2 linked regions of the Struthio camelus genome follow. The main gene of each other region encodes a partner of the protein of the gene in region 2 in a complex. Links are inferred from orthologs where the notes say so. Each region holds a gene or a part of one and is shown on either strand. Other genes may lie near its edges.

Region 1 (7,862 bases), on a different chromosome or scaffold from region 2:
CAGCCTAAGTGGGGGTGCACTAAACACTAAAATGTTTAACTGCAAAATCATTGCAAAGTAGGGAGTATGTTGTGCTCCAAGGATAGGAATAAATCCTGAAGGTTCAAGTAGAAATCAGAGGGCGGTAAAAAGAAAGTTGTATGCCTGAGATGCAAAATAGGAAGGCCAGCTGATTTCCTGTCTCCAGAGTAAATCCTTCTATATTGGCCTTATGTGAGGGTCAAGGGCTTACTCAGTAACAATTATGGTTATGACTGCAGAGGGAGAATCCTGTTCTGTGCCCGAAGGATTTCACAACCTAGTTGCATTTACAGTCACCGGCAGCTTAGGTATCCCATAAAACATGGATTATGCTTGCACCATAGTCCGTCCTGGGAAATAGACCCACTTTGATCCTTTTGCGTGGTCGCAGAGGTTTCATCCCCTGTGACATTACATCAGAACTGAGTTTGGCCTACTCAGGGGATCAGGAGTCTATGGCCAATACCACCCACCCTCCTAGCACAAAAATGACTGGGAAACGGGAAGGAAACAAAACTGCTGAAGTCAAAGGGAAGATCCTACAATATGAGGTAACGCATAAATAGACTACTGTTCCTTCCAGGGATGGGGGAAGGTAATCAGTAGGAAATGGTGCTTCACAGGGTATGCAGAGCCAAGTGCTTTCCTGAAACATCTCTCGTATGAAGGATCCTTCATTCGTGATTCAGCATAGCTCCTGCTACACCACAACCGTAGCTCTCCTTGACCTGCAGTAAGTCTTCAACATTTGGGAACCACCCCAGCTGCACAATGTTCACCAGTCAAGGGTGCTTGAGACACCCTACCGTGTATAGCCAGCACAGTACACGAGAAAGCTGACACCATCACCATCACGCTTGCCAGCAGCCTTTGGTGACCGCAGCACATGGACCAGATGGGACGCACAGCTGGCCTACACAAGCATAGCCTTTGGTAGAGGCATGAGGGGCATCTTGAACTCGCAGTTGGGGAAGAATCATCAGAACCACTTCAACAACTGTTACACTCTGAGTGGCTCCTCAGGTGAAGCAATGCTGAAGCTGCATCTCTTTCTCCTCAAAGGTCCATGTGGTGGATACAAACATCCTCTCTGAGGACAGCAGAGGCTGGGATGGGTGGACAGTGAGATATTCCTGGGAACTTTCCCCTCAGCCTGTCTCAATCTTGTCATGATTTTTGTAGGCTGAGACTACAGATTTAGCATTATGTCTTGTCATTAAAATCCAGCAAAGACAGCGATTTCTAGTCCTATTTCCTATTGTTGTCAGGCAAAACTTCCTGGATAGAGACTTTTTACTTCAGCTTATTTATTTATTTTCCTTCGAGTGCAGCCTAAACCCTCCCTTCCTGTTGGGAATAACAGCTGCAGCATACAGCATCAGCTTGCCAAGCCTGAGAGACTGTGAAATGTCATTTACCTTGGAGCAAGATGGTATCAAAAAGAACAGCCATGTGGGCCTGACTACGAATTCATTCCATGGCTATGTTTAAGAAGAGGAGGGTGAGTTGCAGTATCAGAGGCAAAAGACATCCTACTTTCAAGCTAACACTTATATACGTGAAAGGACTGTCACATCTGAAAGCATTAGCGGAAAAAAAAAGAGAATTTTGGTTTCCTTGCTCGGTGAAGCACTCTGAGCTTTCAAAGGCTGCAGATACAAAAGTATTCACCAGGGCAGGAAACTGATACTTCTTCTGTAGGTTAATGGGGACATAGTGGCCCCAGAAGACCAAGTAATTGGCTGATGAAAGCCACAAAGCTGACACACAGACTTCCCAGCATACCTGCATTATCCCACAAATCTGGAGGAACCTGTATAAATACCATAGGCTATAGATAAAAAATGTTTCAGCTACCATCTTGTTGCCTTCACCATTCGGCCTTTTTTGTTTTCTTGTTTTTGCAAATGCTGTATCTAGAGATTAGGAGAGAGTTCAGACAAGCTGGAAATTAATGACTAATCACATTTCTTGTTCCTCCCTGCTCCTATCTTTCGCTCCCAGTTCCTTTGCTGCCTCTGCTCCCCTCCGGGTGGTGGGATGAGGGGTCAAGGGGAGGCAGAGGGCCCTTTACTGCTCTTTGTTTAGTGCCCTCATCTCAGGCTCTTCAGGAAGCATTCTGAACTGTGTGGAGCTAGACATGCTCTCTTCCCTTTCAAACTTCACATATTTCCCATTAATGATGAGTGGGCAAGGTCAGTGAGGGTCTCTTTTATGCTCTCCTTGAGGGCAAGTAAAAAACTTGGGTCCCAGGTTCTCCAACTTCTTAGGATTTTCAGACTACTGAACAAGCAAGGAGAAAAGTCTTAAGAAAAGTGAAGATACCAAGATGTTAAAGGGGGTTTTCCAGTCTGTGCTCTGTTCTGCCAGAACATTAAACCTCTTATGTAACCTTGGGTACATCACTCCCATTAATTTTAGTGCTAGGAAAGTGGCCTACAGAAGAGCGAAGAAGATAGATAGGTGCAGAAATAGAAACAATTATTGTGATGCTGAATGTTGCCAAGACAAACTTTGGTGTTTCACTCTCCCTCAAAACAAGGGGATTTTTAACAGCCAGGGTGCTTAGGACAGCCCTCCTTGCCGACAGCAGGACCACATGCCTCCTGCTAAGCCTCTGTGGCTCTCTAAGTCTTGCAGGAGAGGATACTTGCTGCATGGTGACCCCATTTCAGAGGACGACTGCTACTTGCCCCCCCAGCCTTTTCTTTAGCGTGGAAGATCCTCACCTAAGCACGGATTTGAAGCTTCTCCGTTTAGGAAGTCTTGTAACCACAGTAAGTATCCTAGCAAGTAGGCAGGAGACATTTCACGCAACAGCCATTTCTTAAATAAACAGTTTGTTTTCACCCTAGATTTGCTTTCTGACCTTAGGCTGTGTATATTTGTGTGAACAGAGCATCCTTGCCAGATAAACCCCCTGGAAAACCCTAAGACCGAGGCTATCTAGTTCAAGTGTCCTCAGGTGCTCAGCTGCCCACCTCAGCCGAGAAGGCAGCTGCTCTGGGCTCGGACAGAAGCAGGATTTTAGGCGAAGGAATGTATCCTCACCTTAAAATTTGCATGCCTGCGGCCTCACGACTGGTTTCATCATTAGGCAAGGCCCTGTGTGAGAACTCGCTTACTCAGAGGCAACTAAATTATTCCAGTGAGGTTTCTTTGTGGCCTCCACGCTCATACCTGTGGGCTCCTGACCTTCAAGTTTTATTCACTGTTGATAAAAGGCGGGGGGGGGGGGGGCCCGTCTGCGCCTCACACGGAGAGAGCGGCGTTACGCGCCGGGAGCTAACGGCAGGGCGGAGGGCGGCCAAACCTGGCTGCGCGCCTGCCGTCCTCACTCGTCCGCCCCAAGGCCTCTGGGGAGCCCCTAGAGCGCTGGGGCGGCGGGTGGCTGGGGGCGCACGTCGCCGCGGCGGCCGGCGAGGGATCGCCACCCTCGGCCTCCCGCTCGGCCACGGCCGGCCGGGAAGTCTCCCCTCCGCAGCAGCTCCAAAAGTCCTCAGCGAGGAGGATGGCGACAGACGTAGAGGCGATGACGCCGCGTGGCAGCGCTCCTCCCGGCCCGCGGCAGAAAGCCCCGACCCCGGCCGCCCACCTGGCGCTTCACAGGCAGGAAGAGACTGGTAAAAATCCCCAGTCGGCATCTTCAGCACGACTCTGCGGCACATCAGTGTTGCCCTACAGAACTGAAGCCAGCGGAGCAACACCGGGAGTTTCTATGTTTGTTTTTTTTTCCCCCCTCTCTGCGTGGTGCCTTGCTTTGCTCTGTCGCTCCCTCGTGCAGGGCTCGCGGCTGGGAGCCCGGAGCGGGGAAAGTGCTGAGCGGGGGCCCTGGCTGCCCTTGCACACAGGAGCCGGCGGCCATTTGGCGCTGGCAGGTAGGTGAGGCCTCGCTCCTTCCACCCCAGGGCCGGGAAATAAATACCGTGCACCAAGTCCACGGCACTGATTTCTTGCGGGAGGTCACTGGGATGATTTCACAGAAATATCCTGCCACGCTTTTGCAAAACAGGATGAGCCTCGGCCTGAATTTCATGACTGTTTTTTTCCGCTTCCATCCCGGCGGCTGCGGTGTTTTTGCTGCAGCACCGGTAGCCGGTTAATTCATCCCGGCTCCCTCAGACTGGGAAAAGGAAAACTTCGGCCACTCTTCATAGTCCCTGAGATGTACTTGTTATGAATGACTTGTATTTTGGTAGGACCTACAAGTGCTAACCCATGTCAACCGCAGACTGACAGTGTAGGCCCGCTTCCAGCTACGCGCTGCTGATGGCGGCGTAACGTGCAGACAGCCCGACAGATAGCAAAACGGAGAGCTCCAAACAAAGCCAGGAGCCCAGTCCATGCTGAAAAGCTTGCCCAAGAATATGAATAAATTATCTCATCCTGAGCTCCCGACAAATATTTCTTATGTACAAACAACGCTTGCTTGCAGAATTAAAAGAAAAAGAAAAAAAAACCAAGACTAGAAAGAAAGAAGTCGTATCATCTTTATTCTACAGATGGCAAGCTGAGGTAGAGAAAGATTAAATGCCTTGCCCGAGATGCTGCAGGAAGCCAGGACTGGAGTTACCTGCATATCAGCCAGTGCCTCGGCCACAAGCGCTTCCTTTCTCTAAACACAGCTCAGATTCATGCTATACACTGGCATAACAGCTCTGACCCAGTAAATGCCATTCTCAATTTACACCCGTTAAAGGACAGAATCGGTTAGCTAGAGCTGCAGATGCTTCTGGTCAATGAAAATTAAAAGCGCTACTTTTGAGCTCATCCATTTTTTGCTGATGACAAGCATTTTTGGGAGGGACTTACTCGGCGCTGCGCTTTGCACTGAAAAGAAGTAATATCAACAGTCCTGAGTCCTGGCTTGGGAGGTGGATCTGAGAGGTGCATCTGGATTTGGCTGAGAGCGAAAAGAGTATTTTCTTTCCACTGGTTGCTGGCTAGTAAAAGCAAAGGGGTGGAATACATCCAGCTCGCAAAACTTGAAAACAGTTAGTGCTATCTGCAAATGAGTGCCCCTCCCCGCTCATGTGAGCTGCACAGGCAAAAGAGAATGACACATGTGCTGTTTCCTTTTCCAGTTGTAAAGGGGTCAGGAGCCCGGCAAGGAGAGTCTGAACAAGAGCAGCATTTTCCAGGGCTCTTCCAGCTGTCCTGCTCAGTCCCGCCGTCAGTTCTGAGCAGGGAAGAGAGACTGTCAGCACAAATAAGGCACTTTTCAAAGGCGTAAATTATGAGTTACCAAAACTATACGACATCTCCACCACGTGAGTACCCTTATTCCCCCCCCCCTTTACAGTAAGAATGGATTTACAAGTTTGTTGCTTAAGCAAAAGGTTGTCAAATGCGTTTCATGTGCAGTAGAGAAAAAAAAGAGAAAGAAAAAAAGTACTGAAACCTATCCTAAAGAAAAAAAGTTGTTTTGAAACTGTTACCCTCTCTTATTCTTGTGTGTGCGCGCGCGCGTGTTTGCAAAGCTGAAACAGACTGTGCAAACTCCGACTCCTGACTGCAACAGAGCAAAATTGGTAACGTTTCTGTCTAAATCCTGGCTTAGAAAAAGTTTCATTTAAATGTCTTCCCTTGCCTTACTCCCCCCGCCCCCCCCCCCCCCCCCCCGCCTTCAGGAATGAAAGTGGAGAGCGTTTCGAAAGCTTACTACCTCTTTTCTAAGTTATTAATGGTGCTGCCCAGCTTGTGTTCAGAGTCTCGAGCTGTCTGTGTGTAATATGAGACGCAAGCCACAAACTGACAGTCTATATTTAAAGAAGTCACAAAGCGTTTCTGCTCCTGGAAATTTGGAAACGTAGGTTTAAGGACAAGCAAATTAGTTTCTCAGCAAGAAAGGGTACAGGAGGGCAAGTCCTGTGTTGGCGTAACTCCGCATATTTCAATAAATTTGGAAAGAGAGAATTTGGCCTGAACAGTTCAAGTGATCACACTTAGCTGTGCCACGGTAGTATTCATTTTGGTATAGTCATAAAAAGAAAGGGCAGAGGAAGGGGATGGATTCTGACTTGATAACCTGAGAAAATTCGATGGGAAAACTCTGGGTTTGCAGTGCTGCAATAGCAGGATGTGGCTCCATATCTATTTTATGACTTGGGTATATAATCTTTCCTGTTCTAATTCAGAGATAGTAGTTTTAGTAAACAAACTCCCAATGGCAGAGTTGTTTATCATACCATGGTATCAGCAGTGAAGGCAGAAAGTACAGACAGGATTGCTGGGAGCTGCCTGTGGTTCAAGTTTTGATCCAATGATTGCTATAAGAATATTTGGTCTGTTTGGACGTTGACACTGACAATATTTTCCAAGCTTTGAAGGAGACAGGCTGATGCAGGAGAAGTGGCACAGTGAACAGGATCTCTGCAGTTCTGGCCAGCAATTTCTAATGTCCCTTTGGTCTTTTTTGCAAATTCAAACAAACCTGAAAAATTAGATGCTAGCTTTATCTCTTATTTTGTTTTGTTTTATTCAGCAGTTTAACAGATTAAAGCTTATTTTCTATTATTAGCAGAAAAGAAACATCCAGGGTAGTTCAGGATTCCGAGAGGTAGGGTTTAGAGGTGTAAATTACTGCCATTGGTCCTCTGAAAGTGTGTGTGCAGGAGGGTGGTAGTGACCCATCGGGGTGCATTTTGCTCACTGGGCGATATTAGCAAGGGCCCAGACCCATGCTTGCATCCTTTAGTGACAGCTTTGGCCAGCTGAAGAGTTCAGGACTGGCTAAACAGTCCTCAGTACATTACACCTCTCAGATAGACTCAAACTGTCAGAGAACCCCAAAGAAGGCCCTAAGGTGTATCTAGGTGAAGTGTTACTTCTTATAGGAGAATATCACTGTAGATTTTTATCTTTGTTCAGAATGTAGAACAGCCGATGAGTCAGATTTTCTTATAATATCCAAAACCTGGGCAGAAATTCTGAGCTTGAACCATTTAAAGCTCATATGATTGCCAGTAAAAATAAGTGGTTTGCAATCTAGCTAAAATTCTGATTAACTGTCTATTCTCTGCTTGCTCTCATAATTTCCCGTACTGTTTCAGACAGGATGTTCCTGTATCTTGTTTCAGTCTGCATCTCTTTGTTTTTTGAATCACATAGATCAAATTTACAGATCAAGAACAAAATTAAGTTAAAGGCAAGTCTGATAATACTATATGCCCACATAGTGCAAGTTTGGTGCATTGTTTTTGTAACAGTTGAGGTTTTCAGGGTAGAGTTTGGGGAAGAGTCTCATTTTGTAGTAAAATTTCAGTAATTTTGGTGAGTGAGAAGATACTAAACGATCAGTATATTGACAGGCACTGCAGAGCATGGACAGCAGATGTTTGGCAGAGAACGAGAGTATTTTGGAAAAAATAAATTTGTTCATAACCACAGTCAAAATCTTTGAAATGGGTGTGAAAATGCCTGAAGTGTCACCGAAGCCTTTGACCATATGGAACATATTAATTCTTTGCTGGTTACCTGCAGGTGAGACCACAGAGCAGCTGCCTACTGATATAAACAGAACAGAGTTAAGTTACCTAATTGCTCCTGTTCTTTTCTTATCTTCTTGTATTCACTCACAGCTGATAAGGGATTTTTATTCATTCTGTAAATACAGTATGATCCTGACAACCCAGGTGATAGCAGAATAGAAAGACTACCATTTCAGATTTGAAACGTTCATGTCTGTGAACCTTGCAAAGGTATTTTGCCTCTATGGGGGTGCCACACCATCTAGCCTCAGGCAATTCCCATGCCCAGCTCAGATATCCTGTTCCAGTCATTGCCTCAATAGAGAGGCAGGCTAGTCAGTAAGTCAGCCTGCCTGTGTGAGGCCATGTGCA
Region 2 (7,394 bases):
GTTCATTGTTTCTTACCGTAATCCAACTTTACAGGCTTTCCAGGGATCCCTGCAGACGAGGACGGGGCCACTCAGAGGCCCATCTCAGAGTCATCACTGGGCCACAAGAAGCCATGGTCCCGAGAGCTGCCCTTCTGCTCCTTGGGCTGGCTGCCTTGGTCTCCCACCGTCCCTCCGAGCCCAAGGCCACCTCCAAGATGGGCAGGGCAAAGCTGAGGGCCAGATGGGAAGCAGCCCCACGGAGACCTCTGGATCACGCAGAGATAGGGCCTGAATCCCTTCTTGGCACAGGAGAGAGAGAAAGCTCCAGCCAGCCGATCCGGCGTAAGTACCCAGCAGCTGCCACAGGAGAGGGGCTGGTGGAGAGAGCCTGCCCCAGGCAGCAGCCACTGCCCCTCCGGCCAGCTGAGTGGCAGATCCTCTTAACTGATCCTCTTAGAGTGGCTGCCTCTTAACCCTCACCCACTTGACTTATTTGCTGTGGAGGAGAAGGAGAGGTGGGAGGTCAGCCCTGCAGGGGGTTCTGGGATGGGACCGCTGCTGGACTTGCAGCCCACAGGGCCAAAGTTTCCTGGGAAGTTTCCCGGGAAGGATGAACTTCTCCATCCTGGAAGATGGACACTAGGCACACTGCCCCACGGGATCTGGGGGCTTCATGTCCACCCTGCCAACCGTTAGCCTGCAGCAGATGAGGCGCCCTGCAGCTCCGACTGGCACTGATCGTGGGACATGCTGCTCGTGCTGCCCCAAATGACCCTCTCGTCCTCTGTGTACATGGGTGCACGAGCGGGCTCCCTCCTCCGGCTGTAGTGCACACACGCACAGTTTGCGTGGAGTGCACTGACTTCTTCTAAGGGCTGAGGTTCGTCACAGTGGCTCCAGAGTCCTACATGAGGGACACATTGCTGTGTCCCAGGCGAGGGCAGCGGCACATGTGTGCGTAGCCAGAGAAGCCAGATGCAGTGGGCCCTGCACAGGCAGCCCAGGCAAGAGGAAGGCTCTGACCCTGCTTCAAAATACTCTCAAATCCAAGAAAAAGGAACGAGTGTTTATGGTATTTCTCTGCTCTCCTCAATGGGGAGTTCTGCCGCAAGATCCCAAAGGCCCCTGGGATCAGAGGGATTCATTTTGGCAGAACCGGGCATGTGAAATCTGAGTCAGGATTGAACATCCCCAGGTCTGCCACCAGCAGAAACACCTCGAAGCAAGAGCCTGGACGGCTGCCTGTGCCGCAAAGAGCCTCTGGGGAGCCTGGAGCCTGGCTCTCACCCCTCTCCCATCCCTCCCTCACGTTCACTAGGACGCGTCTCTTCCCCAGGTGTCCGCCGGTCCTGGCTGGCAGACTACCTGGATGACCTGTGGTCTCACCTCCGTGAGAACTTCCCCGAGGCGGTCCTGTACGTCCTCCCCGTCACCCTGGTGGTCCTGCTCCTTCTCTGCTGCATCACGTACGTGTGCGCCCCCCACCGTCTGGTGGTCCCTCCCTTTGGGGGCAGGCTTTTAGCTCTCTGGGTTGTGCTGTCGTGGTCATAGCTCTGAAACCCCCCCTCCCGTCACGAGCAAGGCTGTGGCTGTGAGGACGAGCACCTCTGGCCGCTGGCGTAAGACACAGCAGGAGGAATAAGAGATTTACAGTGCAGGATGCTGATCGAAAGCTAGTCCCCAGCCTATGAGCCATAGACAAAAGTAAATAGAAAAAAAAAAGAAAAAAAGAAAAAAAGAAAAGAAAGGAAATCAAGGCCCCAAAGCACAGAGGTCATATGAGAACTTTCTCCAAGTTCCAGATTGGGGCTTCTGCTCAATATGTGGCTTTTCTGGCTCCTTTTGTATACAAAGATACACTGCATGCACCAGGGCAAGGAGGGGCAGCCAGGGCTGATAGGCTCCCACTGACCTGTGGGAAGGGGCTTGGGGGGCAGGCTGTTCGGGGGGCAGACCCACAGCTTCTCTCCTGTCTTTGAACCCCCCCTTGCAAGGGGCAGGGCTGGGTGCCTTGCTGCAGAGGAGCGCCCTTCTTGCTCCCTGCCGGGCTGCGCTTCCTCTGCGGAGTGCCACCGGCATCCTCGGCGCCGGTCACATCAGCACGTGCAGCCCCTGCACCTCCTCTTCCTCCCTCCCCGCATCTCACAGTGCTCTGAGCCTTCAGCTAGCCCAGCCGGAAGCAGTTTTATTCCCCCAAGGCAGGAGAAACTTGCTATCAAAATGAGATAGATTTTCTTTCTTTACTTTTTCTCCTCCTCTTAGTCCCCTACTTCCCTATTACCTGCCTCCAGGGACTTACACCCTCCTTCTCCTTCTCTCTTAGGATAGCTTTAGACTGAGGAGACCTGGGGAACTCGGAGAGAGAGTAGCGTTGCTACAGCACAGAAAAGGCTGGTGCCTTCATGGAGTCCGGCCCCAAAAAAACCTCCTCAAAACCACCAGGTACCAGAGAGGTTGTGGAAAGACCGAAAGCAGAACCACTGTCCTTTCCCTTTCAGTGACTGTTTTAAAGAAGAGAATATTCCCCCCTCCCCAAGAATGAATTTTCCCAATCCCAGATAAGGTTTAAACTTTATCTCCAGCTCCAGTGTCAGTATGACTCATACCAAGACCACAAAACACTTGGCAACAGCCCTTCCTATGCACGTCACGAACGCAGCGACTTGCAAGCCCCCCCATAAGCACGTAAAGCACAGGTGCGGGGGGGTGCAATAGGATGCTGAATATCCCGGAGGATGGAAAAACTTGGAATAGTACGAGGAGACCAGGACGTGGCAAGCAGCTGCAGGGCACCGACATCCCCGGGCCGCAGCCCGAGTCCGGCGGTCAGCATCCCACGCTCCGCACGCCGTCAGCGCTCGGGAAGGACCGGCAGCGTGTCAGCACCGCGTGCACGCAGATGCTGCCTTCTGGGACAGGCGCCCCACGTCACTGCCAGGCCTCTCCGGTGCCCGTGCGGGGCCAAAGCCTTTCTCAGATCCAGCCCCCAGCTGCATTTTTGGTGGCGGTGACCTTGCGTGAGTTTGTGGCGGGGTGTGAGGGGTGCAGCCCGGCCAGAGGTGGCCCATCGGCAGCCAAGCGGCTGCCGGCACGCTCCCTGGTGCGGTTTGGGCCAGACTAAGAGCGCTTTCAGGGGACAGCACAGGCCAGGGACCGTTCCCAGGAGGGACGGGATGGGGCCACCCTGTTTTGTGGGGGAAAACACTCCTTTTTGGGCTCTGAAGCAACTCCAAATTGAACTTGACAGTGCTGATGTGCCACCCTGGGACACCAGGGACACCATGTCCGAGCGATGGCAGGGCGCTCAGCACTGCGGGCGGACCGGGATGGATGGGGACGGGGCATGGAGGAGGGAAGCAGTACTGCTGTCGCTCCTGGTATCGTTCACTCAGCACTCCCGCAGCTAGCACCAGGTCTGGTACCGACTGTAAATCAATTAGCGCCTTCCATTAACTCCATGCGTTAACACCCTGCTGGCACAGCGCCTCTCCTCTCAGATCTGCCCATCCCACTGATGCACCAAACGGGTCGGTGTCCTGGGGAGCCTCCTGGGCCTGGACACATCTCCTTCTCCGAGCGTCAACCCAGCACATGCAGCCTTTGAGGGCACCCAGCAGGCCCCCAGTTTCTGCAGCTTCTGGCTTGGGGCAGCTCAACTTGAGCCTGAGGTTTCCTACGGAGCCTAGCTGGGGGCAGGCTCGGTCCGTTGCAGAGGGGAGTTAATTTCTGTCACAACTCTTCCAGTCTCAGCTTCCAACCTGCAGACTGGCAGGTGCTGTAAGCAGCCGAGCGGGGACGGTTGCTGCACCGATACCTTCTCAGATTGGCCTTCTGGCAACCTCCCCTCAGTGCCAAGCTCTTCGGCCCACTTACTGAAACAGAAGTCAGCTCATGACAGAAGTCAGAGAGAAATGCAGAACCTCTGGCATGGTGGGAAGGGGCTGTCTGAGATGGGGCGGGAGGAAGAGAGAGAGGAAGAATCCCTTTCCCGCACACACGGCTTGGCTTGCAAAAGCAGTACGTTTGCTTGAGATAATGCGAATGAGAGTCCCAACAGGGTCCTGGTGAGGGGGAGGCCTCCATCTCCCGGAGGCACCGCCGGCCGGGACCCGAGGGGTCTGTCCGCTCCACCTCAAACTGCCCCGGGGAGCTGGGGAGAGGGGCAGCTCCCAGGCTCAGCCCCCCGCTCGGCCGGCGCCGCGGCTCGGGCACCGAGGGCCGCCGGAGGAGCCGGGGGCAGCGCGGGGCTGCAGCGGCAGCGAGCGGGGCCGGGCCGTGCGGTGCCGCAGCGCTGCCCGGGGCGGGGGGAGCCCTGCCCGCCGCCGGCCCCGCCCGCCCGCCCGGCCTCCCCCGCCCCGAGACGGGCGGAGCGAGCGGGCGGCCGCGGCGCTGCTGGAGCCGGGCGGCGGAGCCGGGGCCGGGGCTGGAGCCGGGTCTGGGGCCGGGCGGCGGGGCCGGGGCCGAGCCGCTCTGCTGGAGCCAGCGGAACCGGCTGCGGCTGCTGGCGGCGCGGTGGCGGCGCGGTGGCGGCGGGATGACCCTCAAGTCGGGCCGCAGCGACAGCGTGGGCAGCATGCGGACGGCGCTCTCCGACCTCTACCTGGAGCACCTGCTGCAGAACCGGGCCAAGCCCGAGGTGAGCCGGGCCCGGGGCCAGCGGCGCGGTGGCCCCTGCGAGCGCGGCCGCGGGCAGCCCCGGCGCCGGTGCTCGGTGCTGGGCGGGGGGGGGCTCTGCCGCTGGCGCTGGCTGGCTCCTGCCAGGGGCCGGGGGACCCCCTGGACGAACCCCCCGAACAGGCTGGGCATGGAGCCCTGTGCGCCCCCTGCCCTGCTGCCCCCCTCCCCGGGCCAGCCTGCCCACCTGCCTGCTGCGATGCCCCGCACCCAGCACCCGGGGCTGGCCAGGGCCCGCACCGGCCCCTGGGGTGTCCCCCTCCGTCCCGTCCCTCCTGCCCCCGCAGCGGGGAGCAAGGCCACATCAAGCAGCCACCCCACGGCAGGCAGGAGGACACGTGGGTGCCTGCCCCCTCCGTGGCGCCGCTGGGCCCTGCGGCACCCTGGCAGCAGGTCTCCTTGCTCGGGGCCGTGGGGCTCCTTAGAGGAAAGGTTAGCCAGCTTGGCTAGCGTTGCGCGGACAGGGAAGAGGGAGCTGAGCTGGAGGGGAGGAAGGCTTTAGCATCCTGCCACGGAGGAGGCTGTGCTTGTTTTTGCTGCAAAGTTGTGTAGCTGGTCTGGACTGGAACTGCCTGTCACATGAGCTGATTCGGCTGCTGAGCAACCTGCAGGTCCACAGCGTAGACTGGAGGGGTTGCGGTGCAGGGTCTCGGCCCCGGGAAAGGATGCAGCCAGCCCTTCTCACACGCTCCCCGGGCAGGCAGCGGGCCTGGGGGCCAGACACACGCCGTCTGCAGTGGAAGAAGGGCAGGCTGCACTGTCTCTGTCATGCTGGGAGGGCTCCTTCCCCAGCCAGTGCTGCTTGGGGCTGCTTGAGCGTAAGCGGGAGAAGGTCAGCAGTTCCCTGTGCTGAGCAGCCAGCGGTTTTCTCCCAGCAGAGACGCTCGGCTCTGAGCAGAAGCCCCTGACCGAGCCACAGCATGAGCACGTCTGGCTTGCGCCGAGGTTTCCTTGCTGCTGCGGGGGGCCTCCAAAAGTAGGGAGGAAATTTCTCTGAAGTGCTGTCTTTGGCCCATCCTGTTGGATAGCAAAGCATCCAAAAGAGGCTCGCTCAGAGCGGGCCCACACCGGTGGTTTGTGTGCTTTTTATGGCTCAACCCTGACACAGGGCTTAAAAAAAAGAAAGAAAGAAAGAAAAAAGACCTGGGCTTGCAGTGAGACCTTTTGAGAGGAGCGCCGTAGGGCTGGCACCCCACTGGAGGGGGGGGGGGGGGGTCCTGCAGCTGGGAAGGGGAAAGCCTGCGGTGTGTCGGGGTGATCAGCAGGCTGTGGGGGGGGGATGCTGCGGATGCCCCTTTCACGAAGGTCGGGGACTTGGGGGGGGGGTGGGTTATATGTCCTGAGCTTCCCAGTCGGGCACTCGCCAGGCTGAGTCGCAAGCAGGCAGAGACGGCGCTGACCGGGCCCGCGGTGCCCTGCGCAGCTGTAGGGACGTCACACGTCCTGGGTCTGGCCGGCTGCTCCGCCGCTTGAGTCAGACAGAGCCAGCGGGAGGTTCCTCTTCCCCTTTTCCCCGGCAGAGCCACGTGCTGGGAAGCGCTGTCCTGCAGTCCTCCCACGGGGACGGAGCGCGCAAAGTGAGTGGCAGTGGTGGCTTTGCTAGTAGAAAACAAGCAGGAGCGGAGGAAGCCGCTTGTCCTCTTCCCTTGAGCCCCAGCCCGCGACCATATGTTTTCCGCTTATCTCCCTGCTGGCACATACAGATTTGCCAAAGAGGTGTGGGCTTTATTCCTAGCTCTGCTCCTGGTTTGCAGGGTGACCTTGGGCTGTCACCTTATCTGCCGTGACTCAGTTCCCCCAGCTGTAAAATGGGCAGCGAATCTGCCCTTTGGGAGTCCAGGGGAGAAAAGGGAGGTGCTGGCATGGGAAGAGAGAGCGTGCAGAAGAGGCCAGCGTTAATAACGGCACAGGTATACCCACGGTCGATGCCCTCTCAGTGACGGCCACGGTGGTGTTCCGAAACGGCCAAGGGCAAAACTAGTTAGGCGTTGAGCAAAACTTTTGTTTTTGACCAAAAATGAAGGGGATAGGGCTGATTTCACCTTCTTAGGATGTGTTTTGCGATGTTCCAGTGTGTAACGGCAGTAGGGAAAAAGCCATTTTGCAGGGCTGGTTGTGGGAGGCTGGGGATGGAGCCCCTGGGGCGCTCAGAAGATTTCTTCCTCGGGTATGACGGTTTTAGTGCCTCTGCCTCGGAGGTGGCAGGTTTCACAAACACATCTGGAAGGCTGCATCAGTCTTTCCTGGCAGGAAAACGGTACCTCAGCAAACCTTGACTGAGCTCCCTCGAAAACCTGCCCCTTCTCAATTTCAGCCCCGCGTGAGCTGGAGTCAGAGCAAGGACACGCGGAGCCGAGCCTGCGGGAGCCGGGCGCAGACACCTTCCCCCACAGCCGCTCCGCTCCCTCCTGTCTCGCCGTTCCCCCTGACCTGTCCATCGCCGTCTGACCTGTCCACATAGCTGTTTCTTATCCTAATTTAATCAATGCGATCCTGTTTGGCTTAAATGCCTTTTTTTTTTTTTTTAAATCCTGGACCATGTTGCTGGGGTCTTGGGAGAGGTTAGTCGATACTCGACCGGGTGATGGTCCTGGCAGAGCTGGGAAGGCAGTAGCCTCAGGCGGGAGGCAGTGATTAATGACTTCTAGATGTCCACATGCCTGTGGCTCCCCAGCCTGCTGGAGTGGCCAGAAAGCAACACTCAAGCTCTGCTTTTTGGTAGTTTGCTTTTTTTTTTT

What was found. The genes of interacting proteins can lie anywhere in the genome.
Region 1: the proteins of MPP1 (region 2) and GYPC are in contact, whole or in part, in an NMR structure (PDB 2EJY), measured with the Homo sapiens proteins. The link is inferred for Struthio camelus from reciprocal best matches to the Homo sapiens genes MPP1 and GYPC. Residues at the interface, in NP_002427.1 of Homo sapiens: Pro81, Met82, Gly83, Ile84, Leu86, Lys87, Leu88, Leu100, Val130, Gln134; in NP_002092.1 of Homo sapiens: Arg123, Lys124, Glu125, Tyr126, Ile128.

What each region holds. Positions count from the first base shown.
Region 1 is NC_090947.1:30,402,979-30,410,840, reverse strand, and holds the start of GYPC (glycophorin-C), read left to right. Parts: upstream 1-4,861; 5' UTR 4,862-5,015; intron 5,016-5,105; 5' UTR 5,106-5,257; coding exon 5,258-5,291; intron 5,292-7,862. UniProt on the Homo sapiens protein: This protein is a minor sialoglycoprotein in human erythrocyte membranes. The blood group Gerbich antigens and receptors for Plasmodium falciparum merozoites are most likely located within the extracellular domain.
Region 2 is NC_090952.1:25,945,187-25,952,580, forward strand, and holds the start of MPP1 (55 kDa erythrocyte membrane protein), read left to right. Parts: upstream 1-4,386; 5' UTR 4,387-4,516; coding exon 4,517-4,618; intron 4,619-7,394. UniProt on the Homo sapiens protein: Essential regulator of neutrophil polarity. Regulates neutrophil polarization by regulating AKT1 phosphorylation through a mechanism that is independent of PIK3CG activity.